3 linked regions of the Bombyx mori genome follow. The protein of the gene in region 1 interacts with the protein of each later gene in a pairwise test. Links are inferred from orthologs where the notes say so. Each region holds a gene or a part of one and is shown in the gene's direction. Other genes may lie near its edges.

Region 1 (10,801 bases):
TCCTATACCAATGGCGAATGCTTCAACTGTCCATCAGGTTAGTCTATCATTAATGTTACAACAGATTTATAGAGTCCATGATCAGAAGATATTCTGATGGAAAAAACTTCATTTGTGCACGTTTTTAGGCTACTAAATTTGTTTCAACAGCTCTTCAAACGGCTTCAGGAATTATAAAGTTTAAAAATTTTAATTTATCATTTTAATAATTATCATAAAATGGTTAGATTTCACAAATTGTTTACTGCTGTATACCATTGATCAGATCTCGAACCTAAAATTTTCAAAAGCGGTAAAAAAAAATTAGACTGGAAGTGTTTGAGGTCCTTTACCCATTTTTTGTGATTAAATAGTCACAGATAAATTTTTCTTGATATGTAGTAAATCCATTATGGGGTCATCCTTATACTAGCGAAGGAGAAACAAGTTCAATTTCGGATCCTACAATAATACATCAAAGACCTTGATTCAAGGTCAGAAAAAACGCGCCTACCGAAAAAAAGTCTGCTTTTATAACATCTTAAAATGGTAAATTCCATGCGTTTGTCTTCTATTTATCGGTTCTTACGTATTTACACTTGGAGGTTATAATTGCGAGGGTGAGCAGATGCCAGAGAGTTACTCCGTCTTATTTGCAACAATCACGACATGTGTGAGACAGAGTGTCCACTAGGGTTCTACTCTGGGTGGTATATCCACAAAACAAATCATCCTACAACGTCCCGCTCCTACGGGGTATCACAAGTTACGCAAATCACAGGTTTTTTATTGGTACAGACAGATACAAAACCAAAAACCAATTCGTTGCTAACTTGGAACGGTCGTGGAATAATGTCACAAAACGTATATTTATCATTTAACGAGAACATAATTTGCGGCGTGGGGTCATATATCTAATGAAATGAGGAAAATACGATATATACATATTATGTACATCTGTTGAGCCTGTATTTGGTACGGCGCACCAGTATAAGTCGACAGCTCCACTGTTTCTTGCTTCCTGATGAAAATGACTGCAAAGACAAGTTAATGGACGTGATAAAAATATCGGTAATTATGGAAAACTAGTTCCGTCTCAGTAGCAATGCCGCACAAATGGCTCTCAACATCAATAGCAGGTACGGAGTGAATACGACGAAGGCACCACTCCTTATTGGCTTGAACGCTTCCGACATGGAACTCGAACGGGACGAATATCCGGCCAGCCTTAGTTAATCTCTCGTCGTTCTCCCCGGCCCTTGCTCCAGCAGATTACCACTTTTCCGGACTTTGGAAAAAAAACATCAGTATAAGTCACATGAGGCAGTATAAAGAATATTTACTTTATTTACAATACTTACTGAGTCTCCTCACATACAATTTTTTTTTCAATAAAGGAATCAATACTTTTTTTTAATAAATGATTTTCATATTTTTTTGGTGTTTTAATTTTTCCGCACAAAAGGCCAACTTCATAAGTAAGGACCTCCTAATATTAGAATTTTGAAAATATGTAGGTAAATTTGTTTTATGCTGCGTGTTGAATCTTCTGCTGTGATATCCGTGGCGCGAGGGTACACATGTTACGGTAGACTGTAGTAGAACTTTGAAGAAGGAATATCGCAAGTGAAAGATAATGGTTTAATGGCTCACTAAAAGATCCTGCATCCGGGAGAGGTAGTAGGGGCGTGACGATAAACAGTGCAGACGCGCATCGTGAACATCTGATCGACGGGGCGGCGACGAAAGCTAATCTATTTCGGCCAGTCATGCTAGTGCTGCAGGTGTTCCCGGATACCTCGAATGAAAACCAGCTAGTCGAATCAATCACCACCACCGGTCGTTCTTTAAGCTCTGCGCCGCGCCGCAGTACATTGGCGCCACGCGGCCACATCCGAAATGGTTCACTAAGGGAAGCCGCCTCATGCAAGGGCTGCAGTTGGACGTGAGCTCTCCTCTTGCCCCCGGCTTAAAGCCTACGGTTCGATGCAGTTCGAGAAGAGTTCTCTCAATTACACATTCATTGTACCCGAAGTGCTTAAGATGAAGGATACATCAACAGCTAGCAATGATAAAAAATGATAAAAAAAATCTACTGAATTAGCTTGGTGCTTTTTCCAGTGTGACTTCATCAGAATTCCAAATAATTGAATTTGTCTCGAGATGACTACGACTGAGTGTTTTACCGCAATATCTAAAAAAACATCGGTGGTGCGAAGTATTTGCTCGGTATTAGTTTATCATGTTATACTTGTATACATTTAAATCATCTTATTTTCCTTGCTCCACTGTAACGCTCTGTCAACATATTTAAAAAAACTCCACCCTTATATTGCCGATAGAAAGAGGTCGTTTGCGAATAGTAAGCAGTGTGCCTCCAACACAATCGTGGGGAAATTGAAATATAGAATACATGTAGTACACACAAGTAGTCACAAAAAGAACACAAACATAAGTACGCATGGCCTTTTGTAATTATCCAAAACGAATCAGCGTGCTTTAATAGGAATTCACTGTACAAAATAAGACAAGACCATTTCCATTGACATTTATGCAAACGATTATGCAGTTAAATTTTCACAGGAGAACGTGGGAGGAACTACCTATTTCTACTCGACCAATTCAGACAGCCTCAATACCACTAGCGGTCTTAATTCATCGGCTTCCATGGGTAAGTCATCAAATCCACGATAAGTTAATACTTTTAATACTTAATACCCAACTAATATTATGAACAAAATACACTTTATGCCTATAGCTACATTTTTCTAGTAGTAGTAGTTTCCAGTTATAGTAAAGCCTAATAAAATTATGAAATTGTCACTTAGTAACGTAATTTAACGGACAAACAAAGATCACACAAAACCTGCAATGTCGGATCTGTCATCATATTTCAATCATACTCGTATTCATGAGAAATAGCAATAACAAACAATATTCATGAGAAATTTTATTGAAATATCAGCCATTCTCCGGTAACACTACAAATTTCTTGGAATTGTTTGTTCAGTAACTTCTCGGTGTTTAATTACTTTTATTAGAACTGCGGATTGCATCGTTAGCCTCCTATTTATATTTTTTTGTGTTACTCAAAAAGAAACCTAATTGCTTTAAGGGATCAGAATTAAGTTATTTCCTTTTGACTACAACCCACCTTGTGTGTTTGATAAAGTTTTTACATCATTAAACTCGTTTTACGAACAAAAAATGTGGATTCAAATGATACATGATTTTACGTTAAATTTAAATGTAATTTCATGTAAATAAATATCGATATGATATAAAGAACAACATCACCGAATCTGTCTAGAATTCTTAATAATTATTATGCAAAGTTTCACACATACTTGTTGATCGTCGTTGACGATGTATTTCAATATAACAAACTTCGAGCATACCTTAATAAGCTAACCATGTCTGGTTTAGTACCTGCAACCCCCTTGTCTAGACAGTGACTATGGATATAGTATGTTTCTATGTTTCTCTCCGAGGGGTGTCTGGGTTTGACGAACTATTGATTCGACGCGTTTGCAATGCGCGTATGTCGGTCCACTCAAATCAACAACCAACCAAATAATAATATGTATAGAACATAACATGAATACACGAATAAAAAGAAGAAACGGACATTATTATGAAATATAATATATATGTTAGCATTAATAGTAAATGTACTTAAATGAAAAATACAATACATAAAATTGTTCTTTCAAACCGGTACGCCACAGAAAAAGGACTCGAGATAAAGTATGCTTCTTTTGAAAACTGTTTTTAAATTATTCACGTGCTTCCGCTTACGAACGCCAATGCAACTCACCACTGAAGGGGCATGGAGTACGAATATCAATAATGCAATTAACGAAATTCTTAATTAGATTCTATGGTCTATGCCCGGTGTTAGCAAACTAAATAATAAAATTGTTTCTTGATATATATAAGTTTCCTTTATTTCGTTTTGTATGGCTAACAATACCAGAAGAACCGTGCATGGACTACTCTCTGCTGAGCACCGCAAGACCATATCCATTGGTATACCCATGTAAGCAAGCCTTTTACGCATGATTTTGGTGTCCATCTGTAGAAACAAAATCATTTTATTTGGTTTGGTTGTATACTATTTTCTATAATATCTGTGTATCTAAATTAATAAATAGAAATCGATAAAATATTAGGTTGGTTTTTTTTTTGTAATTTATTGTGTATTTTAGATTATTTACTAATTTTTATTGATAGTTCTGAGCTGTTTCATCATAGCTTATGTCATATTTTTTTAAATAGTTACAGAGCCGATTACGACACCTCACACGACGCTGGAAACATGCTTATTTACTTTATACAGTATTATTTAGATAACTTAATTGTTTAAATATTTATTTAATAAATCATAAATATTATTTAAATGTTGCATGTACGAATAAGAATAACTTGAGGTTTACATATATTATTTTACTTATTAAATAACGTAAACTCTATTATTGATTAGTGTCAGTGGATATTTATGTTTATGTGTAAAATAATAGTTTTATTGAAACGATTTATCAGGCATATTCAAAGCGTTTTTAAGATTTCCACCAACCAGGTCCGTCTGAGCCATGTCTAAACGCAGTAGGGCCGCCGATGGTGTCTCCGTATGCTTCGCAGATGTACGCTGGGGCCTTACCGCAGCCAGGGCCGTCCACCAACAAACAAGGTTCGTGTTGTCGATGCAATACACTTACCTATTAACAGAATTGAAATTTAAATATACATTTGTAACGATCAGTATAATCATATATATATAAAAAGATTTATTAATAAAAAATATCTATTTTAATGCTGATACAATTTCAATTCTGTCACAGGTATTTCAAGTTTTACTAACAGTGATTGTGTTTGCTTAGTCCAACCGCATTGCCTATTTCTGCCGCGAACTAATTATGCAATTTTCGATTGAAAATTACGATAGTCTATTCGAGATTCGTCAATGTGGCATTGGTAGTCACGTTACTCTGTTGGCTCTAGTGATGGATGATTAGATGAGGCGTAGAACCATTTGCCGATCTAAGCAAACATAATCTCATAATCATTATCACTAATTTGCTATGCGTTATATATATATGATAAAGAAATCTATGTGCTACTTGTGTAGGCAGTGCTTCTCCCATGGCTGATGTTCATCATTGATGGTAACCACTTACCGTCAGATAGGCCATATATGCTTGACTGTCTACATTGAAAAAAGACGAGAGCAAAGTCTAGAAGCAGATGTTTTTATTGTAGAGGCAAAAATATTGGGACAACATAATTAAGACAAGAATTCGATTTGAATCATATATTCCTGTGTTGTGCCACCATTATTGTTCTGGTTAAATTGTTTCAGTATACAATGAAATAACAAATAAACGAGGGTGGTAGGTCCCTTTTTAACATGAAATAATAAAAAAAAAAAGGAGGCTTCAATATATTCATTGCGATGTTCTTTAATCTTATTAGAAGCAACCTGCGTAACATTATAATTATAGTACATCGTTTAGAATGAATTTATAAAAACAAATGCTTGATTCATTTCAAATATACTTCGAACATCCAGGGGGGAGACAATACAGTATTTAATACACAAAGGATCCTTCAATATTGTTCAATCTCATTCGTTTCGCAATATTAGCATGTGTCAATTTCATTATGCTATCAATTTTAAATCTTTTGAATACCTGAACGTTATTTGTCATGCGTCAAAAGGATGGCTTTGTTTAATATTAATCACGTCATGTGATTTATATAAGGGGCGACGTAGTCATCCACATCCTACTAGCCCTGACCCCTGGATCATTAGACTTGCAAAAATCAGCGAAACTCAGCACTAAAACAAAGCATCTTGCTAAGCGAATGAATAAGATTATTTCAACAGCTCGGCTAGTCAATTTATTTGTTAAATTGACCGAGCTATGCTTTGCTATTTCTATAGGAGCGTCGCGTGCCCAAATGTAAAAGCGTAATAAATGATAGTCATTAATATTATTAAACTCTGTAAGATCATACAAATAAAATTATTGATCTAATTTTTGCACTTTAGATATTATTTTAGTTTCCATTCGAATCTGTTGGTCTAATACTCGGTTGCATTAATTACCTTCAGGAATAAGGCACCGATGTGAATTTGAATTTATAAATAAAAAGCGGCCTTACATGATGTAAATCATGTGCCATTTATGATAAACGAACCCTTTTCGAGCTCTCCTTTAGACATCGTTTAGAATCTGAATGTACAACAAAGTGGGATCAGTTTACGCTCTGAACTATAACCACACAATTGCTCGTTAAATCTTCTATACACGTCGAGATGTCAATAACCATAAGAGAGCTTATTAAAGTAAAGCATGGCGCGCAATGTTTAAATTTTAAGGGAATAATTTCCGCGAAGCGCCTGCTCGTTTAAGCATACCTTTACATGACTTTAAGCTTTGCTAATATTATCAGTGAGCGAAACTCGCAGAGCGACATTACTACTATTGAATAGCGCGCTACTGCTAAAGCGCTCCTTCGATAAACGTTGCTACGAAAATCGTTTAAAGAACATTGCTATGAATATAAAAGTTGATATTGAAGCGTATGGGGATATTTCATTTACCTACCTACCTACCTCTTTAAAATATTTTTAAAACTGTTTCATGTTTGTTTAGAAAAAAAAACAACAACAGTTTGAATTTTCATTGTTCGCAGGTCTAGCGGCGACTTTTTACAATCCCGAAACAATACGGTCTGAGATCTACGACAGGAATGATGATGTTTATTTGCAGCCTGATCTCAATCAGTTTCCAGGTACATCGGTTCTAACAAACGAACGACCCGGCACGTAAAGGGGTTTTCGACTTAATTTGATTCCCTTTTTATTAATACGGAAATATGAAAAATAGATATTTTTTCTTATGAGTGATTATTAAGACTGATATCACTCTAATGGCATCGTCTCATAGATGTCATCGAAAAACAATGTATAGATATGCTCCGAACAAAAGTTATATCGCAAAAGATGCTTTCAATTATTACTCAGTAAATACGTCATAATGAAATCCAGTGTCTAACGCTATTCTGTTGTAAAATGCCTCCAATGAAATAGAAATTTTAATGGATCATTAAATTATGAATATGCGTTTGTTGTTGTTAGTTGATCGGTTTTTTTGAAGGGATTTTCTGACCTAGTAACTAAGACCTTTAAGTCATATTTTATTTTAATTTATTATTCTTATTTTTATGAAAAATGATAATATGGAGTGAAATGAAATGAAGATGATTAATTTGCGACATTAATCAACTGGGACGAAATTAAATGTAATGATATGGGATGAAATATAATCTCAGTATAATGGTGGTCATTTACTGAGATTTTTTCAGTGGACTTTTTGAAGGATCCCGAGAAGTTACATCCAGCGCCTTTGTTTAATTTTCCCACATTTGTGCACTTTCACAGATATTAAACAGTTAATAAACCACCACTGTTACACATTTAAATCAGAATAAACACTAAATAGACAAAATAAAACAAATCACAAAACTTCACTCCTTGCGTTCCCGCCAAAAAGTCTAGTTGATCGGTAAGTTCTGTGTGTAACAGATATACCGGACAGCGTGGACATGTACGCCGAGCTGGTACCCCTGGAGGGTGCCGTGACGCATTCGATGTCGACATCGTACCGCGCTACTAACCGTCAGAACGGTGATTATGTGGCTCTAAGGAGGCTCCATTCTTACACGTCGCCGGCCTCCAAGCGTCTTGAAATGTGGAAGCAGATCGACCACCCGAACATTGTGCGTCTGGAAGAATATTTCAGCACCAAGGCTTTTAACGATATATGTGAGTAAATTTAGCAACTTAAAACAAAATGATTACATTTCCAAGCATAATCCATTGCTCGGTCTACATTGTTATTTTAATATAAATGTTTTTTTATGTAAATGCATCTTTTTTTCGAAACATTTAGTATTTTAACGTTTTAACAGTCAGGTCTCAGCTAAATTAACTACTATATGTAAGTTAATAGCGTTATTAGTATTTTGTGCAAGTCATTGTCTGCACATATTGGCAGTTTTTTTTTAAATAGATAATTTTAAATAATGAAAATATAATTATCTATTATTTTTATATTTATCTAATGTATTAAGGTTTGGGCTTTAATTAATAATCATCATCATATTAATGATAACAGTTCTTATTCATTATAATTAAAATTACATTAAAGCAGGAGGCTTTCACGACGAAAAAAGTTCTCTTATGCTGGTAGGAAGATCACAATATAATACAACACTAAGGACTATAACTCTGAAATTACATTTTTTTTTATTAAATCTACTTCCGTTAATATTTCAAATCATAGTAAAGGGCGTTTTTAAATAATAAAAAAATTAACGCAAGGTTTGAATTAAATAGAAAACACAGTTTTTAGTCTTTTGATTGTTATTTTTCTATTGTATCATAAAATACGTAGGATAGGGTTATTTATGGAATAACACATCGGGCAAATTGCCTCCATGGTCTTGCATGCACTTACATATTATGCAAAAATGTAGTTGAATTTCTTTGATGCAGCATTGAATCTTATCCTTTAATGTACGGGTGGTCGTGGATTTGTTCACCTATAACTATGATTACAAATAGCCCCATAAACAGAAATGTAATGGTGTTAAATCACACGATCTAGGGGACCGATTCTGATCACCGGAACGAGAGATTACACGACCTGGAAAGGTCTTATGCTTATGTAGCAATAGGATTGTTTTACGTGCTGTATGGCATGTGGCACCGTCTTGTTGAAACCACATATTAGCCACATCAACATCCAATTTAGGCAGAATGAACTGTGTTATCATGTTGCGATATCGAGCACCGACCGTTCCCCATCAAAAGAAATGTAATGGTGTTAAATCACAGGATCTAGGGGGCCAATACGAGAGATTACACGACCTGGAAAAGCCTTATGCTTATATAGTAATTGGATTACTTCAAGTGCTGCATGGTATGTGGCACCGTCTTGTTGAAATCACATATAGCTACTTCAACATCATCCAATTTAGGCAGAATGAACTGTGTTATAATGTCGCGATATCGAGCACTATTAACAGTCGCTGTTTGAACAGATTCTTTTTCAAAAAGTATGGTCCAATTATGTTTCCAACGTTCCATTTTTATTAACTAACCTTAACTGTCAGCTTTCAAATTGCCGTTTTTTAGGGTTGCCAACTTTGTGCAAATGGCAAATTCAAATCTTGCGTTAATTTTTGAGACACCCTATATTTACAATGAAAAATACTATGACGAATATTTTAAACAATTTCAAATGTTTTAAATGCACACATTGTCATTATCTTGTAAAAACAAAAAATGTTTACGTATAATACCTACCTAAATGTAAATGTGGGCGACAAATTCAAACGATCAATTAAAAGAAAAAATACCCCTCGCTTGTGGTTTATGCTTAATCCAAAAGGAATTTATTTGCGGCGACTAATATGGGATAAGTGTGGTTCACAATTTTTTTCACAGATTTACTTTATATACCTGCCTTAGCTTATAATGAAATGTCTTCATGAAGACCTAGCACTTTATTAATGTTACAAAATTTTCCACCATCACTACGTTTAAAATTTAAAACCATTTGAACCCATGTTAATCACATTATCGGGTTATTGTTCTGCTGTTTTGAAATTCAAAAATGACCGCTATGCATCTTAAGCCTTTTGAATTTCAGTTTTATTATCGTTTTTTTTTTAATGAAAATGTTTTGTCCTGAGTGACTTCATGCAAATGAGTCTGTATTCAGGTGACATATTTCAAGTTGCGTTACATTTTAAAACAGTATTGTTCTGACGAATTAACTGCTAGTAAATTTTATATAATTAATGTCCAATAATGTTAAAATAAATGTCCAATGTTCACATGATTAGTATGTGCCCTTAGTCTCTCAAATCTTAATAAGCCACTAAAATTTAGAATATATCTACATACACGAAAGACATGTAGCTTAGACCAAAAAAAAATTAGACAAATAATTCGATATACATTAAATAGTTTTTACCAAGATTCCGTGGAATCCAATGAAGGTTTCGTAGTGCAACTCACAGACACAGCCCACTGAGTTTCTCGTCGTATCTTCTCAGTGGGTCGCGATTCCGATTCGGTTGTTAGCAAATTGTCTAAGTCTGAGACCTGTGAGCTCGCCTATACGTTCGGTGAAACTATTACAACCCCTCGATGTTGCTATCTATAGATACAGTACAATCAATATCAATAAGTCAAATAACAAGGTTTTCTGTCTGTTTTTCTTTTTACTGGTGGTAGGACCTCCTGTGAGTCCGCACGGGTAGGTTCCACCGCCCCGCCTATTTCTGCCGTGAAGCAGTAATGCGTTTCGGTTAGAAGAGTGGGGTCGTTGTAACTATGCTGAGACCTCAGAACTTATATCTCAAGGTGTGTGGCGCATTTACGTTATAGATGTCTATGGGTTCCAGTAACCAGTTAACACCAGGTGGGCTGTGAGCTCGTCCACACATCTAGGATGTTTATTGACCAAATCCCAATACCGTAGTTATTGGAAGACGAATTATGAAATTATTCGAAAATATCAATCCAATAGCACTGGTCCTGGTGTACCAGTATCATCCAGCCGCTGTGACTCTGATGAACAAGTATTTGTCCGGAAACGGAAACAACTCCGCCGAGGGTGGAGCTGCTTATCATGATCCGTTCTCTTCGGACCCGGATGCACCGCGTCCGTATACCCATCAGGTTTGTGTAGCGTTAATGATGTTATGATTATTTATTAAGCTATTGCATAGATTTTATCTCGGG
Region 2 (10,801 bases), on another chromosome or scaffold:
TCTGCGAAGCACTGCTCTTGCTAGGGTCAGTGTTAGTAAATTCTCTTAGGCTGAGCCCGTGAGCTCACCTACTCTTCCGCGAGAATTTGTCCCCTTAGGCTACCAGCGAATAGTTAGGGGAAAAGGGCGGAGAAGCCCATAACCACTTCATTAGTTATCGTCATATCACAAAAAATAAACGAACTGGTTTCGGCTCGTAGACTGGTGGAGATGGAGAGGTCAAATTGGTTTATCGGTTGAGGTACCTGATGATACCAAGGTCACATTGATAGGTCAAACATTTGTCTCCAGGTAGAGACGCACAGTTCACAGTGCAATGTGATGGACGTTGCGTCGACGAGTCAAGCCCTCGCTTTCGGCGACCAATCAGGACATTTAAATCTTTTCTCACCGACGCAGAATCACGAACCTGTATACAATAATTTTTCAAGGTACGGATATCAAAGTAATAAGGTAAGCTAAAATATAAAAAAAAAAGTTATATAAAGTTATATGCAAGCGAAAGAAGAGGAAGCTGCATAGTAGATTTTTGCAAAGCATAATTGTTAAAGTCATAATAGTCAAACATCAGAATCAATTTTTATTTGCATTTAATATTCTATTTCAATCAACCCAATTAAGTTTCTGATTGGCAATTTTGTGTTAAATAATTGGATACTTAGATTGAGGATATTGGATGTGACCACAATTTAAATAAAATCTGGGATTGTTGCACTTTTCTCTGGCAACAAGAACTAATTTCATCCATAGATATTTATTTAATCAGACCTCAAATTTCATTAACACAAACCGATTGTTTAATTTTTTTTTTATTGCTTAGGTGGGTGGATGAGCTCACACCCCACCTGGTGTTAAGTGGTTACTGGAGCCCATAGACATCTACTACGTAAATGCGCATTATAATTTTGCTGGTTTTATTTTTATGACACGATGTTATTCCTTAATAATTATTGCTTTTTCCTAAATAGGTCGGTTTGAAGGGTGGGTCAGCCGTTGTAACTATACTGAGACCTTAGAACTTATATATCAAGGCGGGTGGCGCATTTTACGTTGTAGATGTCTATGGGCTCCAGTAACCACTTAAAATCAGGTGGGCTGTGAGCTCGTCCACCCATCAAAGCAAAGAGAGAGAGAGGGAGGGAGAGAGGGAGAGAGAGAGGGAGAGAGAGAGAGAGAGAGAGAGAGAGGGAGAGAGAGAGAGAGAGAGAGAGAGAGAGAGGGAGGGAGAGAGGGAGAGAGAGAGAGAGAGGGAGAGGGAGAGAGAGAGAGAGAGAGGGAGAGGGAGAGAGAGAGAGAGAGAGAGAGAATTTAATTTACCGATTCCTGTTTTGAACTTCTATTATGTATTATGTATTGTATTTTATTCTAGGTCAACAGAGTTCGCGGATCCAGTGGAAGGTCTACCTTACGTTCGGTTCAGCGACACCAGGTTCCAGTACTCGTCGGTGCCACTACCTCAGTTGGCGAGCGGCGGGAAATGGTTCAATGAATTGCCACCGGAATTCTTTAGGAAAGTGTATAGGTTGGTACACGTATCATTAATTATATCTAGAACTACCTGACCCGGCAGACTTCGTAGTGTCTCAATCGATAAATAAAATATCTAAACTTTTGTACAAAAGGAATCCGTCCGACGAAAAAATACAATTTTTAAAATTTTTATTTTTATTTCATTCCGAGCACTTGCATATTTATCTTCTAAATCTTCCCTGGACTCCTACAAATAATTCAAGACCAAAATTTGCCAAATCGGTCCAGCCGTTCTCGAGTTTTAGCGAGACTAACGAACAGCAATTCATTTTTACATATATATAGATAGATAGTCGATAGTCACAAAAAAAAAAAAAAAAATTAAAATAATTAGAATTTAAGCTTCCTATTTTAAACTTGTGGAGTCCGGTCACGATTCGTATCATAAAACGAAGCGCCATCTATCATAATTTTTTGGAAGTATGCCAGAAAATGTCTTCGATACTGTAACAACAAAAAAATTAACTCAATCTGATAAACAAATGCACGTATGAATATACAGAGCTATAAACGCAAATTATTATTTACATATCGGAATATTTTAAATCGTATGAATGGCTCTAGTATATATCTAAGTACATAAATGATATGTTACAGAAAACCAAAGCCAGTCGATCCTGAAGTTTTGAAATCGATGAAAATGCAAGGTCCAATAGGATACGCGCCTAATCCGAAAACTTTTAAAAGGAATCAGGTAAATAAATATTATTCATTGCCATTCGCCACTTTAAGACGAAGAACTTAAAGTCGAAGTCTAAATCGTATAGTACAACGCTCCCACCCCTCAAACTGGAACGTAAGATGATGATTTAGCGGCAGAAACCCGCAGGATATTGGTACCTACCAGTGCGGGCTTATAATTACCGTCCCTACCTTACTAGACCATTACTATATGTCTGTTGACGATCGTAATACCCTAGGTACTCGAGGAAAACTGCTGCTAATTTTCCTGTTAATTTATAGCACCCACGGAAAGAAATTTTTTCACTGGTTGTAGGACCTCTTGGGAGTCCGCACGGCTAGGTACCACCACCCCGCCTATTTCTGCCGTGAAGCAGTAATGCGTTTCGGTTCGAAGGGTGGGGTAGCCGTTCTAACTATACTGAGACCCTTAGAACTTATATCTCGAGGTGGGTGGCGCGTTTACGTTGTAGATGTCTATGGGCTCCACTAACCACTTAACACCAAGTGAGCTGTGAGGTCGTCCACCCATCTAAGCAATAAAAAAAAAAAAACGTATTGCTATCATTTTAATACGCTTATTAGCTTCAGACGTATGTATGTTTGTATGTAACGGAATCTTTGAACATGATTTTGACCCCCTTCAAAACGTCGGATTAACTCGAAATTTGGTATACTTATTAAGGACCGATGACAGTTCAATATTAAAAAAAATATTGAAAAACTTTGAAATTCGACTAAAAAATGAAAAATAAATAATAGTTTAAAAAAACTAACAAAACATGCTTTTGTAGAAAATCCAACTAAAAAATAGAAAATAAATTTGAATTATAAATTGTGTAAGAAAAATTGATTTTACTGTAAAAAAAAGCGTGGGGTGCATGGTATCAGTAGCTATAAATGTTTTATGAACAGATATGAGTAGAAGGGTTATTTTGTTAAAATCCTGAAAAGCACCCCACGCTTTTTTACACTAAAATATTTTTTTCTTACACTATTTTTAATACAAATTTATTATAATTTATTTTCTATTTTTTAGTTGGATTTTCTATAAAAGCGTATTTTGTTAGTTTTTTTAATCTATTGTTTATTAATCTTGTTTTTATGGCCGGTGGTCGAACCTCCTACGACGTCCCCGCGCCTAGGGTCGCGCGGCGTACGTGGACTGAACGAGCTCCAAATGTTGGGAGTGGACCGCGGGCCCAAGGATGGTGTTCAGGCCCCTATACACTTATCAACTCCTCTGCACTCTCACCCAAGTGTCCGATCCCCCCAAGGTCAAGGGTCAAGGGCGGAGTAAGGGGTTACCGCGGTCAACACCTACTGCCTTTATAGCCGACGACACACCGCCTATTTTTAAATATTCATAATATTTTGTAATTTGCGAATCTAATGCGATTGAGTGAGTAATAAATAAGTAAACAAAAACTTCATCGTATTTAGAGCTTTATTTACAATATATTCTTAAACAAAGCGAAGTAATTTTTTTTTATAACACATTTTAACACAGATGCCGTACCTTGAAGAATCGTTAGAAGAAATGAGTATATCAAAAATAAATGGAAATAAAGTAATAATGCAGCCGATACCGAAACATTATCAGAAGGTTTGTAGAAGTTACCCTTATATAAAAATAATAACGTTTTTAATATCTATAATAAATATAATGGTGACCAAATTTTTATGCAATGTAATAAATATACCAGCATAATGTGAGCATTCATTGTCTTTTTATACATTGAAAAAATTAAATTATGGAAGCCACTTAAGAAGAATCTTATCTAGAAGATTGCACAAAGTGGGAATGAGTTGCTCGCTCCGGGAATTTCAATATTGTAATAATTGTTATGTTATAATTACTTATTGTAAAAATGAATATTTAAAAAAAACTAATATTTAAAATAAAATTAAAAATCTAATATTTCAAAAAAAAAAAAAAAGACATGCCCGCTGAGTTTCTTGCCAATTCTTCTCAGGACGGAGGCTAATTCTTGTGAATTGGCGGTAGTTCTTTTGACGTTCAACAAGTATGTACTTTCATTTATGTTGAATAAAACTTTTTTGATTTGATTTGATTTGAATTGTTTTATTGAGTTTTGAGTAACTCATTTACTTGTATGTCGGTTGGATTGGAATATTGTAATCTATACTAATATATAAATCTACAGTGGTTTTTACGGATGTTCCGTTATAACTACTAACTACATCCGATTGACTTGAAACTCGGTATCCATGTAGGAAATACATGTACTTAATGGGTAGGCTAATATTTACATCAGTGTTGGACTCCCTAATAATAATGACTATAAATAGTAATGTTAATTTTAAATATCCAGCGAAGCGGGCGAGTACGGCTAGTTAAATTCTAAATTAACCTCTGAACTAATAGAATTGAAATTTTAACTCTGAATTGGAAGACGGTGTTTGTACTAATAACTTTTATATGTAGTTTTTTCAACATGATTGTGTATTTCAGCTCGACATACGATATAATAAGCACGGTCCGAATGAAGAATTAGAGAGTTTCAATAAAACAGGTCAGCCCGGACTGGAAGCGACATTACCGAATTCATACTGCAATGCCATGTTACAGGTATGTATTTGAGTAGATCATATTATTCTATGGGTGAGGATCGCAGAATTTTAAACTAAAGTAAGGCCAACCAGACGAGATAAAAAATGTAAACTAAGTTTCAGGAGTAAAAAACATTTTTATTTAAATAAATTATTACAAAGTTCGAATTTTAATCGCTGTCATCTGTACTAGACAAAGATGATTCGTCGGAAGAGTCCGAGTCAAAATTATGGTAGTGGTACAAGTACAAATGAATTAATAAATTAACTTACCTTTTGACGCTTTTTGCGTGGTGAATTCATTTTAGAGCCGCCAGGCTGTGATTCCATAATTAAAATCAATAACTAAGTACTCACAATAACAGCAAAAATCAAAAATAAAACTAACAAAAACGGAATAATAAAGTAAACACGGAAACGAAAAAATATGTATCACTTCGAACGCAATCCAAACAGGAATAAACTTGTTCACAAAATGGCGGACCAAATGTTCACAACTGCGGTACTCAGTGCTTTCCTGTACCACGAAACACACAACGACAGCTGTTGTCGACCAACTGACGCCATAACTGCGCGTACGAGTGATAAGGACAGAGATAATAATCCCTCGCTATCGCAAATACGCGAGGAATGGCGACGTCTGGTGAAGCGCACCACCAACCCAAGTGATGACCACGACCACTCTGCCAAGAGTGCATACGACTGAGAAGAATCGCAATGTAACTCACTAACGGTCCGCTTGTTTACGTTTATTATCTCGTCTGGTTGGCCTAAGTTTAGGACGAAAACAAGGCGTATATTAATTTTTGAACGTTCCATTAGTTATATAGAAAACACACACCCTGTATTGAAAATTGTATTGAAAATTTACGATTGATTGATGAAAATCACCCAAGAATCAATATATCAATAGTTTCAGATTTATTTATCAGATATTCTTGAATTTCTCTGAGCATCTTTACCGGAAAGGTATAGTTAGTATTCGCTGAATTTATGTGGATGGATTTTTGCCTTTTCTCACGGTATTTGCAGATTGCATCTTTAACAGTCCCCATCTTTTCGCTGTTTTTATTGCTTAGATGTGGGGGCGAGTTCACAGCCCACCTGGTGTTAAGTGGTTACTGGAGCCCATAGACATCTACAATGTAAATGCCGCCCCCCACCTTGAGATATGAGTTCTAAGATCTCAATATAGTTACAACGGCTGCCCCACCCTTCAAACCGAAACGCATCCTGTACTGCATCGTAGTAGTCGTATGATGATGAAAACTGATGATTGATTGATGAAAATCACCAAAAAATTAATATATCAATAATTTCAGGTGTATTTATCAGATATTGTTGGATGGATTTTTGCCTTTCTCTCACGGTATTTGCAGATTGCATCTATTTCAGTCCCCATCTTTTCATACATAATAATATGTTGCTTACTTGAGGTCCATAAAAGGACATGCATATAAAATACATTTTTTCTAATTGTTGACACATTAAAATACTCTTATTTTGCGTAGTTAAGCAGAAATGATTCGAACCCCCGTAAAATGGTACCATGCTATCTTTGATCTTTTCGGATTTGATCTTTTGATCTATTCTATTATTAACAAACCATTTGATATCCACGTAGAATTGTCTTAACATTTTACTATTTCAAAACTGTAAAAGTAGTTTTCGATTTTGAACCTTATTCGCTCACCTTAACGCAGGTTTTGTACTACACGCCGCCGGTCAAAGCCACGTTGCTAGCGCACACGTGCGCCAAAGAGTTCTGTTTGAGCTGCGAATTAGGTAAGTCTGTGTTTTTTTTTCGTATTATCTATGAAGGATATCGATTCAAATATAGAACACTTGTGTCTATGAACATATAGGGCACTTGTGTGTCTTGTGTTCATAGGAACAGAATAAAACGGATATTTCATTACAATTACAATGAAAAAATATGAAAAGAATAATTATTAGATAAATAATCATTGAAAATTTCAGTGTATAGGCTTTCAAACTAATATTATGAATGTGAAAGTGTGTTTTTCTTTCTTTTACGTCTAAATGAAACAACGAATTGACATGATCTTCTTAAAAGTGATGTATATATTGTATATATGTGTATATATATATATATATATTTATTACTTAGATGGGTGGACGAGCTCACAGCCCACCTGGTGTTAAGTGGTTACTGGAGCCCATAGACATCTACAACGTAAATGCGCTACCCACCTTGAGATATAAGTTCTAAGGTCTCAATATAGTTACAACGGCTGCCCCACCCTTCAAACCGAAGTGCATTACCGCTTCACGGCAGAAATAGACAGGGCGGTGGTACCTACCCGTGCAGACTCCCAAGAAGTCCTACCACCAGTAATTACGCAAATTATAATTTTGCGGGTTTGATTTTTATTACACACGATGTTATTCTTTCACCGTGGAAGTCAATCGTGAACATTTGTCGAGTACGTATTTCATTAGAAAAATTGGTACCCGCCTGAGATTCGAACACCGGTGCATCGCTCGACACGAATGCACCGGACGGCTTATCTTTTAGGCCACGGCGTCTTCAAAGTCTCTCACACTAGTGCATTTCACCGTCAGGTTTTCTATTTCGCATGCTGGACACGTCTGGCGGCACCCCTTGTCAGGCCACAAACTTCCTACGCGCGTTTCGTACGGTCCCCGAAGCGGCTGCCCTAGGACTGATACTGCCGGATCGAGCGCCCGACATAAGAGTCGATTTGGTAGCCTTAATACAGGTAATAAACAATATTTTATTAATGTTTTTTTTTTTCAGATATATTTTATTTTGCTTCGGTCTGAATTGGATTTTCTAATATTATTTCTTTAGATGTATATATTAATGTGTTCTTTTATCCTTGGATAAATTATTGATTTAACCCTTGGATATTATGGTGAACAGTAAAACTATAACCAAAATTGAGTTGTTCTGTAAAGAGTAAATTTTATTTTGTTACATCAACTAGTTTTAACACCAAAACAATCTTTAACATGAATTAATCACAAACTCACATGTAAAAAGAAACAACATTTAAAGCTATTGTTTCACCAGTTCGTATTATTCTTTATTTTTTCAATATTCAAATTACAATATATAAGTTTCACTTGTTTAACCTTTTTTTTTTGTATTTGATGATTTGTAATTGTGTCTTGATTTGGTTTATTTCTTTTATTTGTGTTTTTATTGTAAGTCCTAGTTTATTTTTAATTTTTTTGTAAAATAAGTTTAAACTGATGGCCGTGTTGCCGATGCTTTCAATAAATTAAAAAAAATATATGACAGAATGTCAATATGACAGACCAGCTCCATAGAATCAGAAAGTTCACAGATAAATTATACATCGCAGTTATTACGTAGCAAATACAAACTGTACAAACTAAATGAAGTATCAAGCGCTTTGTTTACATTTATGTATAAAACTGTCCCATTTCCTCACCATCGGCCCACAGATGTCCACAGCTGGACCCAGGTCTCCTCGCAGGTTTGGTGCAACTACCGGTCTTGCGCAATCCACATCTAGATACCTTTAGCAGGTCGTTGCTCTACCTCGTGGGAGGCCTACTCTTTCTCTTATTTGTCTTTGTCCTATTATATAACTATCTATCTATTTACCTGTCATTTGAGCTTCATAATGTTTCAAACTATATTATTGATATTAGGTCTGTCATTATTGACGACAGTATGATTCGTCAGGTTGTATGGGGTAATCGAAGCCCATATACACTTACACGTTGTTTTACAAAGTTTCGATTACTTTTTTTTTATTGCTTAGATGTGTGGACGAGCTCACAGCCCACCTGGTGTTAAGTGTTTACTGGAGCCCATATACATCTACAACGTAAATGCGCCACACACCTTGAGATATACGTTCTAAGATCTCAGTATAGTTACAACGGCTGCCCTACCCTTCAAACCGAAACGCATTACTGTTTCACGGCAGAAATAGGCGGGGCGGTGGTACCTACCCGCGCGGACTCACAAGAGGTCCTACCGCCAGTAAGCGCTGTTGACGCTAGTTTATATAAATACGTTCTTGCAGAGCTGGAACCGCTTCATCCTGCACCAGATTCATTACGAGATCCTCGAGACCCGTAAGAAGGAGAAGGAGTTAGCGCTGATAGCGAACAGTCCGCCCAAAGCACCACGCGCGTCCAACCCGAAGGAACGTCACTCGCTAATGAACGGACAGTACTCCGAGGAGTGTCAGTATACCGAACTGGAGTTCTTGGGACCCACCGAATTTGATTGTCAAGAGGATGGCGAACTCTGGCCGGGCAGGGATGAAGGTGAGAACGACCAACTTTCACATTGGCGACGGCGTATAATCACGGTCGTGGGGCTTAGCGGATATTTCAGCGCATAAGTCGAAGTCACTTTGCTTTGGACTAACGATTGTTATGCAAGAAACGTACAATATCCTCGCAAATAAAACACGCGACCGTGTGTAAGCTTAAATCGATTTGTGAGTTAAAAACTTATCCGAATCTAAAGGCGATATTTTTACTCGAACATTACACGGCAAATGGTAGATGTTTCGTGTTACTTGAAAATAGATATTTAAAAGAGAAATCAAATTAAATTATAATGACATGTTGTCACGTGATTTAGTCAGGAAATTGTTATTTTGAAATCATTCTCGAACTACTAATCTAATGTTGATATTAAATATAAATTAAATGAGACAAACAAAGATTAATTCTCATTATATTCATTAATATACCGATGTTACAATCGTGAGATGAAAAACGTTTTTTTCTATTTCATTTCACGCAGTCTTTTTTGGAATACAATTTGCAGGTGAGTAAGTTGTTTTAGAAATGTAAAACAGACTCATTCGATACTACGTATATGCATAAAAAAGTGATTAGAAACAAAAAAAAGTACCTTTAAATAGCAGGCCGGACTAAAAGTCTTTATTTTGATTATTTTGATCATCATTTTAGGCCAAAGTAAAGCCAATACCAATTACTGTACTGTCATCGGTCGTAACTTTCAAAAGCCGGACTGCTTTTCGCCGGGCACACAGTTATGTCCTACCGCTAGTCATTTTTTATTTATTTAATTATTTATTTATTTAGGAAACAAACATTACATTACAAACTTATTATAATATTTAAAAAAATAGCTAAAACAATAAGCAAATATGTTTCCACAAACAAAATCACATATAAGTAGAAAGTGAACAGAGAAGATAAATTTAGAAATTGCAATAAACAAAAACAACACAATACGCACATGTTATTATGTACATCAACTTACATTATAAAACTATAATACTCATCGGAGTAAATCACCTTATAAATAATTCAAAATAGCTTTTCTGTTTGCTACAACAAGTGACAAACAAAATATGTTTTCTTTACCTTTTTTATCAAAACGAAAATTTATACACACGAATTGCTACGCATTTACTTTTACTTAAATGAATTGCGATTTTTGATATATACGTATCGACGCTTGAAAGGCAAACGTGACTAAGCGACAATGCGTGAACTTTACAGTAGACTAATTTAAAGTTGAAATAACTGAAATTTTTTTTTAACGAATCTAGCTGTAGGATTGAAATTAATTTAATAGATCTAGAAATATTAATTTTTTTTTGCGTATCGAATATGGTTATTGCCTATCATTTACGTACAAAGCAGTTATTGTCGCTTAGTCACGTTTGCCTTTCAAGCGTCGGTATGCAGTTTGATGCAAACACACGCACACACACAGGCGTCGACGGCGTGGGGCCGTTGCAAAACCACGAAAGTCACGAGCTGAACAACCGACAGGCGCACCGGGAGGAGACCGAGATCTCGCAGCTGTTCGCCATCGGTCGGCATCAGCTCAACCGCTGCTTGAAGTGCAACAAGGAGGTCGGTACACTAGATCGGGGGGCGGGAATAGGTAGGACCTCTTGTGAGTCCGCGCGGGTAGGTACCACCGCCCTGCCTATTTCTGCCGTGGAGCAGTAATGCGCTTCGGTTTGATATCAAACATAACATGAAATGAAAAAGAAATGAA
Region 3 (11,278 bases), on another chromosome or scaffold:
GACTAGCTAGGACACTCAAATCGGAAACTATAGTCATAGGAACAAGAACAGGATATAGTCACAGGAAACATATATATCGCCAGTTTGCCCCTCAGGACATCCCCCGGCTCTCGATGATAATGAAAAGGTAGAGTCATTAACCGATGCACTGCTAGAGCAGTGTACCACCAATGCTTAATCTGCGGACCCCGAACACACCGTGACGGGGAAGTCGAGCGCAGAGCTTTCTTGCCACCCTCCGACGCGTTACGACCCATTACCTATACCGAAGTCAAAGAAGCAATCGGTAGCCACCAATTTAGGACAGTTATTCCGAAAGTGACATATCGATATCAACCTCAGAAAGGCACAGCCATGCTATTCAAAAGGGGTCGCCCTCCCAACATCATTGTAAGTATTAGCCTCTATATTTGTTGTCTCGCCACGAATTCGGCGCGGTAACTCTATTCCCGCCATTAAAATCCTTGGCCAGTCCATACCGTGGGCTTCGAAGGCTAAGTACCTAGGCGTCACCCTCAACAGCGGGGTGACATTCAAGCCCCACATTAAGTCAGTACCCATCGACCGAGCCGCGTTCCTACTCGGTCAACCCTACAGCATGATCTGCAAGCGAAGTAAATTGTCTCTTCATAACAAGGTGAAACTACAAAATTTGCATACGTTCCGTCATGACCTATGCAAGTGTAGTAGCCGCTGACGCGGTCCGTATGCACATTAACTCGCTCCAGGTCATCCAATCCCGTATCTACAGGATAGCCGTCTGAGCTCCGTGATACGCGAGGAATGATCTACACGACGACCTAAATCTAGAACTGATACGTACATAAGTATCTAGAGAAACGTCAGAACGCTACTTTGAAAAAGCATTTGTGGTGAATTTTAGTTTTTTCTTCTGCAGAAATGAATAACAATTGGCTGGATTGAGGTCCGTACTGTTGCTTAAGCACCATGAAAGCAGACGATCAATATTAGAATAAAATTTAGGTCAAGGTTGGGGGTTGATTGCTTCCCGCTTCCGTAGGTTTAACCCGCGATTCCCTACAAGTGACCCCTGGGTGGTGCAAAACGGGAGCCGAATACATAATCGGTGGTAGGACTTGTCCGACTGGCTGGCGACCACCCTCCAACTAGAGTCCGCCGCCAAATAGCCTAGCTGTGTTCCGGCGTGTGGGTTGGAGAGCCAGTGTTATTCCTTCCCTTTCCTCTTCCTTGTTTGGGGTAAATCTTGGCGATACCTGGAACATGCGGAGCAGACGTGCGTGTGAGCTCGCGGGACGTGATTGTTTGACGGGGGTATAGGGAGACCCAGTGAAACGGTGTTCGCCGCCGCCCGCCGGTCAGTTGGGGACCTGAACCCGGGTGTCACTACTAAACTCCGCCCCGGGAAGCTGTCCCGCCAACCGGTGAAAAATCCTGTCGTGCGGTCGTCGTGCCGGAGTCGGAGACCGGAGTGGATCCCGGCGATCGCACGCAGGGTGGACTGGGGGCCCTTCCATGCCCTGCGTCAGTCGCCCACGCAACCCGTGGTCGAGCACGTACTGTGCTCCGCGCTTTATTCAGGTATTGTCACGATTTCGCCTCGAACATCCTACCCCACCCAATCCCACTCTCCAAATAAAATTAAAAAATAATAATAATGAAAGTTCGAAAAAGGAAAAGGGTTTTGTCGGCGATTCCCCATTCCACATTTAATGTGGATTTCAGCAATGTAAGGGGTCTACATAGCAACCTCGACGCCGTACACCACCATCTTGAGACGGCGCAGCCTGCCCTCCTTTTTCTGACGGAGACGCAGATATCCGCTCCGGATGATACTTCGTACCTTGAATACCCCGGCTACGTATTGGAGCACAACTTCCTGCGTAAAGCCGGGGTGTGTGTATTCGTCCGGGCAGATGTCTGTTGTCGCCGTCTACGAAGCCTCGAACAACGGGACCTGTCCCTCTTGTGGCTGCGCGTAGATCACGGGGGTTGTACCCGAGTCTACGCGTGCCTGTACAGGTCCCACAGCAGTGATGCAGGTTCAGCTCTGATAGAGCATGTGCAAGAGGGGACTAACCGCGTGCTTGAGCAGTACCCATCTGCGGAGGTGGTGGTTCTTGGAGACTTTAACGCTCACCACCAAGAGTGGTTGGGGTCCAGAACCACTGACCTCCCGGGTCGGGCTGCCTACGATTTCGCCTTGGCCTACGGCCTCTCCCAGCTGGTGACACAGCCCACCCGTGTCCCAGATATTGAGGGGCACGAGCCTTCTCTGTTGGACCTTCTGCTGACCACCGATCCAGCCGGATACAGTGTGGTGGTCGACGCTCCACTTGGATCGTCTGATCACTGCCTTATCCGTGCTGCCACACCACTCTCTCGTCCTAGTCGTCGAACGACGACCAGGTATCGAAGAGTTTGGCAGTATTTGTCAGCAGATTGGGATGGATTGCGTGAGTTTTACGCATCCTACCCATGGGGGCGGTTCTGCTTTTCCTCTGCTGATCCTGACGTCTGTGCGGACCGTCTTAAAGACGTGGTGCTCCAGGGGATGGAATTGTTTATCCCCTCCTCTGAAGTGCCCGTTGGGGGTCGCAGCAGACCCTGGTATAACAATGCCAGCAGGGATGCTGCACACCTCAAGCGGTCCGCATACGTTGCATGGGATGATGCTAGGAGACGTCGGGATCCTAACATCTCAGAGGAAAGGCGGAAATATAACGCCGCTTCCAGGTCCTACAAGAAGGTTATTGCCAGGGCGAAATCGGAGCACGTTGCTAGAATTGGCGAGCGACTGAAGAGCTATCCCTCTGGGAGCCGTGCTTTTTGGTCGCTCGCCAAAGCTGCAGAAGGTAACTTTTGCAGGTCTAGTCTCCCACCACTACGCAAGTCCGATGACAGTCTGGCCCATAGTGCGAAAGAGAAGGCTGACCTTCTGGTCAAACTCTTCGCCTCGAACTCGACTGTGGACGACGGGGGTGCCACACCACCGAACATCCTCCGGTGTGATAGTTCCCTGCCGGAGATCTGCTTTACACAGTGTGCAGTCAGGCGGGAACTCCGACTCCTGGACGTCCATAAGTCGAGCGGGCCAGACGGCATCCCTGCAGTGGTTCTGAAAACGTGCGCCCCTGAGCTGACACCTGCGCTAACGCGTTTGTATCGCCTCTCTTATTGCACTAACAGGGTTCCGTCTTCATGGAAGACTGCCCACGTCCACCCTATCCCCAAGAAGGGTGACCGGTCGGACCCATCGAGCTATAGGCCTATCGCGATAACTTCCTTGCTTTCCAAGGTGATGGAGCGAATAATTAATATACAACTCCTGAAGTATCTGGAGGATCGCCAGCTGATCAGTGACCGACAGTACGGTTTCCGTCACGGTCGCTCAGCTGGCGATCTTCTTGTATACCTTACTCACAGGTGGGCTGAAGCCTTGGAGAGCAAGGGCGAGGCTCTTGCTGTGAGCCTTGATATCGCGAAGGCCTTCGACAGGGTCTGGCATAGGGCACTTCTGTCGAAGCTACTATCTTACGGAATCCCCGAGGGTCTCTGCAAGTGGATCGCTAGCTTTTTGGATGGGCGGAGCATCACGGTCGTTGTAGACGGTGACTGTTCTGATACCATGACCATTAACGCTGGCGTTCCACAAGGTTCGGTGCTCTCCCCCACGCTTTTCATCCTGTATATCAATGACATGCTGTCTATTGATGGCATGCATTGCTATGCGGATGACAGCACGGGGGATGCGCGATATATCGGCCATCAGAGTCTCTCTCGGAGCGTGGTGCAAGAGAGACGATCAAAACTTGTGTCTGAAGTGGAGAACTCTCTGGGGCGAGTCTCCAAATGGGGTGAATTGAACTTGGTTCAATTCAACCCGTTAAAGACACAAGTTTGCGCGTTCACTGCGAAGAAGGACCCCTTTGTCGTGGCGCCGCAATTCCAAGGAGTATCCCTGCAACCTTCCGAGAGTATTGGGATACTTGGGGTCGATATTTCGAGCGATGTCCAGTTTCGGAGTCATTTGGAAGGCAAAGCCAAGTTGGCGTCCAAAATGCTGGGAGTCCTCAACAGAGCGAAGCGGTACTTCACGCCTGGACAAAGGCTTTTGCTTTATAAAGCACAAGTCCGGCCTCGCGTGGAGTACTGCTCCCATCTCTGGGCCGGGGCTCCCAAATACCAGCTTCTTCCATTTGACTCCATACAGAGAAGGGCCGTTCGGATTGTCGATAATCCCGGTCTCACGGATCGTTTGGAACCTCTGGGTCTGCGGAGGGACTTCGGTTCCCTCTGTATTTTGTACCGTATGTTCCATGGGGAGTGCTCTGAGGAATTGTTCGAGATGATACCGGCATCTCGTTTTTACCATCGCACCGCCCGCTACCGGAGTAGAGTTCATCCATACTACCTGGAGCCACTGCGGTCATCCACAGTGCGTTTCCAGAGGTCTTTTTTGCCACGTACCATCCGGCTATGGAATGAGCTCCCCTCCACGGTGTTTCCCGAGCGCTATGACATGTCCTTCTTCAAACGAGGCTTGTGGAGAGTATTAAGCGGTAGGCAGCGGCTTGGCTCTGCCCCTGGCATTGCTGAAGTCCATGGGCGACGGTAACCACTCACCATCAGGTGGGCCGTATGCTCGTCTGCCTACAAGGGCAATAAAAAAAAAAAAAAAAAAAAAAAGGTCAGATTAAATGATGGCTACACTACTTTGATGGTATGCATCTAGGGGCCTCCCAATATCCAATACCACCCCAAAAAGTAAAGTTATTAAATGGTAAGAGAGGGTGATAGGGCAGTAATATTAGAAGCTAGTGTGTCAGCTTTAGACACCCAGGTACGTAAAACAGCCGCTGAGGCTAAAAAGTTCTCTAGTGGCGACCGTGTACCGGAAGACATGGCGTAGGTAGATCTCCCACAAGAATAGACGACCTGGTGAATCTTGCAGTAATCCGCTGAATGCAGGCAGTGTAGGACTGGTTGCTGTGGCGAGGTTAGGGGAAGGCCCATGTTCAAGAGTGGATGTCTGTGGTCTGCTACGTACATATTTTGATCTGGAAATACTGATAGCAAGCAAATATCTAAAATAAACTAGATTAAAAGCTTTTGCATTGTAAATTCATTTTTGAAGTCTTGTGGATTTTTAAATGTCCCTAACCCGTAGGTATTAATACGATCAACCGTCAAATTGTTAGTTAAAAAAAGGTGTCATTAAAGGTGTCATTACTATACTTGAGACCTTAGAACTTGTATCTCAAGGTGGGTGGCGCATTTACGTTGTGGATGTCTATGGGCTCCAGTAACCACTTAACACCAGGTGGGCTGTGAGCTCGTCCACCCATGTAAGCAATAAAAAAAAAATAAAAAAATTGTGGTGTCATTTACGAATGGCAATGGCAACAGTAGAAGTAATAGTGTTCTGTGGGCAACAGCATGGAGTTAATAAGTAAATAGTAACTCTATGGGCAACAGATTGCAGAGGCTACATACCTGAGCCCTGAGTCCTGAGTGCTTAAAATACTTTATATTGTCTATGGAGCTTACTTATTTAGTGACGATATCAGACAATATCAGTGTTATTTTGAATAAAACAAGTGCTTCCAAAATGCCTTATTGGTATTATGACAAAAAGGATTTGTTGAATACGCCTTCCTTCCGTGATGGGATAAACAACGATGCTGAGAATCGTTACAGAAAGGAAGGAGCGAGATTCATAATCGACACAGGATCTAAAATGGACTTAGGTTATAATACTGTTGCCACAGGGGTTGTTTATTTTCATCGTTTTTACATGTTTCATTCGTTCAGGACGTTTCCGAGGTACATAACCGCTTGCTGCTGTTTGTTTCTGGCGGGAAAAGTCGAAGAGACACCAAAGAAATGCAAAGATATAATTAAAGTTGCCAAGTCTTTGTTGACGGAACTAAAGTTTGCTAGTTTCGGTGAAAATCCTAAAGAGGAAGTAATGACACTCGAAAGAATTTTGCTGCAGACAATCAAGTTTGACTTTCAGGTCGAACATCCCTATGGGTATCTGCTTAAGTATGCTAAATGTTTGAAGGGCGACAAGACAAAACTACAGAAGATGGTGCAAATGGCTTGGACATTTGTAAATGATAGGTAAGCGTATGATTACTATAGCTTAGAGCCATTTGACTATTATTAGAAGAGATATGATGCCTCTAAATTGAAACAATCCTTTGAATTCACATTTTCATGGGTTTTTTTACCACCTGACCTGCTCCTGCAGTGATAAATATAAAATGAATTAAATTAAATAAGAAGTTCAGTAATCGTACCTATAACACAGCGGATTGATTTTGTGTTCTAGCAGTATTCTCATATAAAGCACCCAAATAATCATATAATGCTTTCAATACGAATGATTCACATTTAATTATCTTACCATTTCTACACTTTTTAGTACACATATGGTAACATTCAAAAGCATTTGATAAATTAATAATTAAATTAATTACAATAAAATATGTAAGATAAAGATTTTTTTCAAAAAAAAAAAAACCAAATAGTGACCAAGTAACCGTTGTTCACAATGTAATAGAGTGTAATTTGTTTTTAATTATAAAATATAATATTAAGATTTATTTTGTATTAAGATTTCTGTTGCGTTTTTTATTAGCCTCACACTACGCGAGCATTGCTTGAATAACATTTGTATTCAATCTATCGAAGTTTTATGACACCCATTTTCAGAGCTTCATAAAAAGCATCTTTGCCAGAATAATTTGTTCTTGTTCAACTAAAGTTAACTCCTCTCATAGATGTCCCGTAGGATTCAAATCTGGAGTTTGACTTGGCAACTCTAAAATGTTGTAGTTTTGTATTTAAAAAAAATATTGATTTCCTTAGACTTGTGTTTGGGGTCATTATCTTGCTGAAATTGTCATATAGTTGGTGTGTGGTGTTTAGTGTATGTAAAATCCTTGGACCAAAAAAACCTGTATATTTTGAAAATCTCAAAAAATATTATTTTGTTCTTGCAGTTTATGTACAACACTCTGTCTGCAATGGGAGCCTGAAGTGATAGCTGTAGCTCTCATGTTTCTAGCTGGGAAACTCAGTAAATTCGAGGTGGCAGACTGGAATGGACGGCAACCTAAACACAAAGTGTGGTGGGACATGTTTGTTGAGGATATCACTACAGAGCTATTGGAGGATATATGTCATCAGGTATGTTGAGCTAAGGATTCAGTAAAATCTGAAAGTCAATTATGAACAGACATGTATTCAGTTTGAAAGCTAAAATATGTATTTGAGACCATGTGTGTTCATAAGTGTTCACAGTTGGTAGATAGCAGTATGTTTATAATGTCAATGGCACTGAAATAATTAAGCCGCCAGTGTACATTTATTTAAAAAACACAACACATGTGGGTTTGAAAGACACACTAGTTAATCCAGTATGTTTTATTATATATTTTTTATTGCTTTGATGGCTGGACAAGCTCACAGCCTACCTATTTTTAGGAGGTTACCAGACCCCATAGATATGTATAACGTAAATGACACCACCCACCTTGAGGTATGAGTGTATGAGTTCTAAAGTCTCAGTATAGTTACAACGGTTGCCCCACTCTTCAAACCGAAATGCATTACTGCTTCATGGCAGAAATAGACAGGGTTGTGGTACTACCTGTGCAGGCTCGCAAGACGTCGTACCACCAGTAATTACCCAAATTATTATTTTGCGGGCTTGATTTCTATTACAAGATATTATTCTTTCACTGTGGAAATCAATCGTAAATATTATTTCCAGGTATTAGATTTATATTCACCACAGACACAAGCGTCGGGGAACGATTCCCCTCCTTCTGTTCCTCAGCCTCCAAAAAACGAGAAGAAGCCACCCTCCGTTACACCGCCAGCTTCCGTATCACCTGTCGCCGTTACCGCAGCCACTAAGCCGGTGGTCACGCCCATTAAGAACGGAGGGGAAGTTAAAATTGAGCCCCCCAAAGTCGGTATCACCGAGCCTATTCGGTACACGTATCCGTTTACACCAATACCGCATTATCCTCCAGTGTATACGGCTCCGCCTCCTACAATCCCTCCTCCTCCCAGGCTCCCTTTGGTGCCTCCTCCCATGGTATACCCGGACCCACCCCCGGCACCGAACAGGTTCCCTCCCGTCAACGTCCCACCCCCGAACTATTTCACCCCCCTGCCAAACCGAGGACCTCCTCCAGGGCCACCCCCTCGGCCCTACTATCCGCCACCCTAGCACCTAAGTTATAGATACTATAATTTTTTACTAAAATATAATAATATAGACAGTATTTGTTTTTTTTTTTGTGGGACGAAGATGTGCATTTCATACGTGCTTTAAAATTAAAATCTCATAGAGGAACGCAAAGAATGGTTTAGTTTTTTTGTGATCATCGTAAATACTGACTACAAACATAAGTAAATCCTATTTTAAAAAAGGTGATCTCACAGACTCAACCTGAGAGAATTTGCTAACACTGGCCGTTGCAAAGAGTAGTGCTTTGCTGAATCTACTACCGGATCGTAATTGCGACCCACTGAGAAGATCCTGCGAGAAATTCTGCGGGTTATGTCTACGGGTTAGGTTGCACGTCGAACTCTTAACAAATTGCGTAATATTCTTTCATACTGCGAACCATTTTACCGATTTTATAAATCATGGGCCATTTATCTTTTGCGCTTTGACTGCCTTATTTATCATGTAAAGTGTAGAGATTGTTATAAATTGAGAACACATGATTTAAACACCACTGAAGTTGATAATGCTGTTACTTTGATTGAAACTGGGCATATCTAACGCTGAGTTGTGAAGGGATATATCAGATGGTATGGCAGACCGGGTGTATACGATAGATATAATCAGAAATATAGGGTAAATCCCGGTTGTTTCGCAGAATAAATTCCATACTGCTATTTAAGATATGTATTTCCAATACTTTTTTAAAGTATAATCATCATTTAATATATAAACCTATGAAGTTGCCGTTTTACAGTACTGGCGATTTTAAACGTAATTTAGGTGCTAATAGTTTCTAAATTCAAATCATTTTTATTAAAAAAATATGAAATTCTAATTTCTTTTCATTACATTTGTATACTTTTCACAATATGGACACGATAAAAATATCAGATCAGGTCATGTCGGTTAGAGCCTGGTTTAGCATCCAGGCAAAGCACTAAATGAAGCAATACCCCTAAAATCATGTTTACTGTTTGGTGGTCTAGTGCCAAACAATTCAGTTTTACAGCTTCTTACAGCATTACTCCGGATGCTTACTGTGAGGAACTGGATTCAATGATGGAGAAGCTCCCAAATCTCCAGCTGGCCTTGGTCAGTCGCACGACCCTAGACTTGATACATCACAACAGACGAACTCGAAGCTACTAGGGCTGGAAGTTTTGGATACCCGAAAGACAGTTTAAAATGCCCCCCCCCCCAACCACTGCGCTGACAGAAATACAAACTTTCTGTGTACTAAACGACAATTCGATAAACTCTTATTATGTAGGTTGGAAGTACGTATGTAGTAGTTTATCTTTATAAAATTCATTTACAAACACATGAGTTCTAAAGTCTCAGTATAGTTACAACGGCTACCCCACCACATTCAAATCGAAACGCATTGCTGCTTCACGGCAGAAATAGGCAGGGTGGTGGTACTTACCCGTGTGGACTCACAAGAAGTCCTACCACCAGTAAAAAAATACAAACGTCTGCAGGTAACCAAGAACCAGTCCCCAGAATCATTAGTTAAACTCTAAACAACTTTCGCATAACTTTAATTCCGAACACATTTCATAAACACAACACGGGTAAAAAAAATACATATTATACACATTCCATAAAAAAAATACTAAGAAATACTGATATAAATTAATAATAATTAAAAATAACGTTTTAGTACGAAGCTAATCTCATACATCATAATATATAATTTGACTATAAACACTTGTGCGTAAATCGATTTATAATTAAGAGCTGCCGTTTTTTCGACTAGACAGTCACCGAAATTCATTTTAATAATTATATCTAATTTACGATACTTTATTAACAAGCATGCGTAGTTAATGTCTGTATAGAATTTCATTAAAGTTTATCAAAGACAACTGACGATAGGTACGCATTCGGTTATGCAAGATCTAATATTATATTGAATCAATATTAATGTTTGAACAATATTCAGTCGTGGGTAAATGAATTTTATTTATTGCATATACGGGACGAGCTCACAGTCCACCTGGTGTTAAGTGGTTACCGGAGCCCATAGACATCTACAACGTAAATGCCGCCACCCACCTTGAGATATGAGTTCTAAGGTCTCAACATAGTTACAACGACTGCCCCACCCTTTAAACCGAAACGGATTACTGCTTCACGGCAGAAATAGGCAGGGTGGTGGTATCTACCCGTGCGGACACGAGGTCCTACCACCAGTGAACTGTAACAAGTGGCATCTTGTTTGCGCCCTGCACTTGTTGCTGTGGCCCAGTTACACTAAATAATCGGTCAAAGGCAACAGTTGTAACAGAACATTTACAAATAGGATGAACTTTTCTTTGACATACCGTCAGTCAACATACAAAAATTACTATATACAGATCAATGACCCCAAAATGTATCATCTATCTTGAGCTCTTGGAAGCATCGCTTAGTGTGTGGAGGAGCCGAATGCGTACAGTCGGTCGGTATGGGCGGGGAGCGGTTAGCACCCGTGAGCACTTGTGAGCACGTCACGCATTTTAGGAGCAGAGGGCCCGGTCCGCGCCTGCGACTGTCGAACTACGCGCGAAATAAACATTCAAATAACCTTATAGAAAAATGTTTTACAAATATTTAAGTAGTAAAAGTTTGTATAAAAATGCATTTCAGTTTGATAAAAATTCAAACGAATTCTTCTGACGTTCAGCTCTGACTCGCTTCACTTCAAATATTCATGTTGATTGAATTCATTAGTGACGACAGAATCGTAATAGCGATCTTAGTCGACTTAAAACACTTCAATTCATGCACTACACACAGTTTATGTGAAACAATTATTTTAAATCACTAAATAAAATATAGAAGCTAAATAAGAAATACGACGCATGACGTCACACGTGGCTAGTCGTTACGTAATGGAACATGATCTATTTATTACTATTACTTGGTTTTGGCTCCGTGAGCCATCGTGATCCTGCCTGTCGTACACGAAGAATTGTTATGCCTATACAATGAATTCAATCAACCATTTATAAACATCAAAACTCATTAAAATAACATATAAATATTGTAGTAGCCTAAACATTA

What was found.
Region 2: the proteins of PAN2-PAN3 deadenylation complex subunit PAN3 (region 1) and PAN2-PAN3 deadenylation complex catalytic subunit PAN2 interact in binary tests that used the Drosophila melanogaster proteins (3 or more experiments, as listed by UniProt). The link is inferred for Bombyx mori from reciprocal best matches to the Drosophila melanogaster genes PAN3 and PAN2.
Region 3: the proteins of PAN2-PAN3 deadenylation complex subunit PAN3 (region 1) and cyclin-K interact in a two-hybrid assay, tested with the Drosophila melanogaster proteins (3 studies listed by BioGRID). The link is inferred for Bombyx mori from reciprocal best matches to the Drosophila melanogaster genes PAN3 and CycK.

Annotation. Positions count from the first base shown.
Region 1 is NC_085107.1:5,725,236-5,736,036, reverse strand, and holds part of PAN2-PAN3 deadenylation complex subunit PAN3, read left to right. Parts: coding exon 1-37; intron 38-2,562; coding exon 2,563-2,650; intron 2,651-3,937; coding exon 3,938-4,018; intron 4,019-4,543; coding exon 4,544-4,669; intron 4,670-6,678; coding exon 6,679-6,777; intron 6,778-7,570; coding exon 7,571-7,810; intron 7,811-10,586; coding exon 10,587-10,738; intron 10,739-10,801. UniProt on the Drosophila melanogaster protein: Regulatory subunit of the poly(A)-nuclease (PAN) deadenylation complex, one of two cytoplasmic mRNA deadenylases involved in general and miRNA-mediated mRNA turnover.
Region 2 is NC_085114.1:5,144,536-5,155,336, forward strand, and holds part of PAN2-PAN3 deadenylation complex catalytic subunit PAN2, read left to right. Parts: intron 1-291; coding exon 292-431; intron 432-1,369; coding exon 1,370-1,522; intron 1,523-2,127; coding exon 2,128-2,224; intron 2,225-3,721; coding exon 3,722-3,817; intron 3,818-4,687; coding exon 4,688-4,804; intron 4,805-6,488; coding exon 6,489-6,570; intron 6,571-7,371; coding exon 7,372-7,529; intron 7,530-8,831; coding exon 8,832-9,078; intron 9,079-10,510; coding exon 10,511-10,653; intron 10,654-10,801. UniProt on the Drosophila melanogaster protein: Catalytic subunit of the poly(A)-nuclease (PAN) deadenylation complex, one of two cytoplasmic mRNA deadenylases involved in general and miRNA-mediated mRNA turnover.
Region 3 is NC_085129.1:15,381,696-15,392,973, forward strand, and holds cyclin-K, read left to right. Parts: upstream 1-5,235; 5' UTR 5,236-5,518; coding exon 5,519-6,105; intron 6,106-6,989; coding exon 6,990-7,176; intron 7,177-7,762; coding exon 7,763-8,227; 3' UTR 8,228-8,282; downstream 8,283-11,278.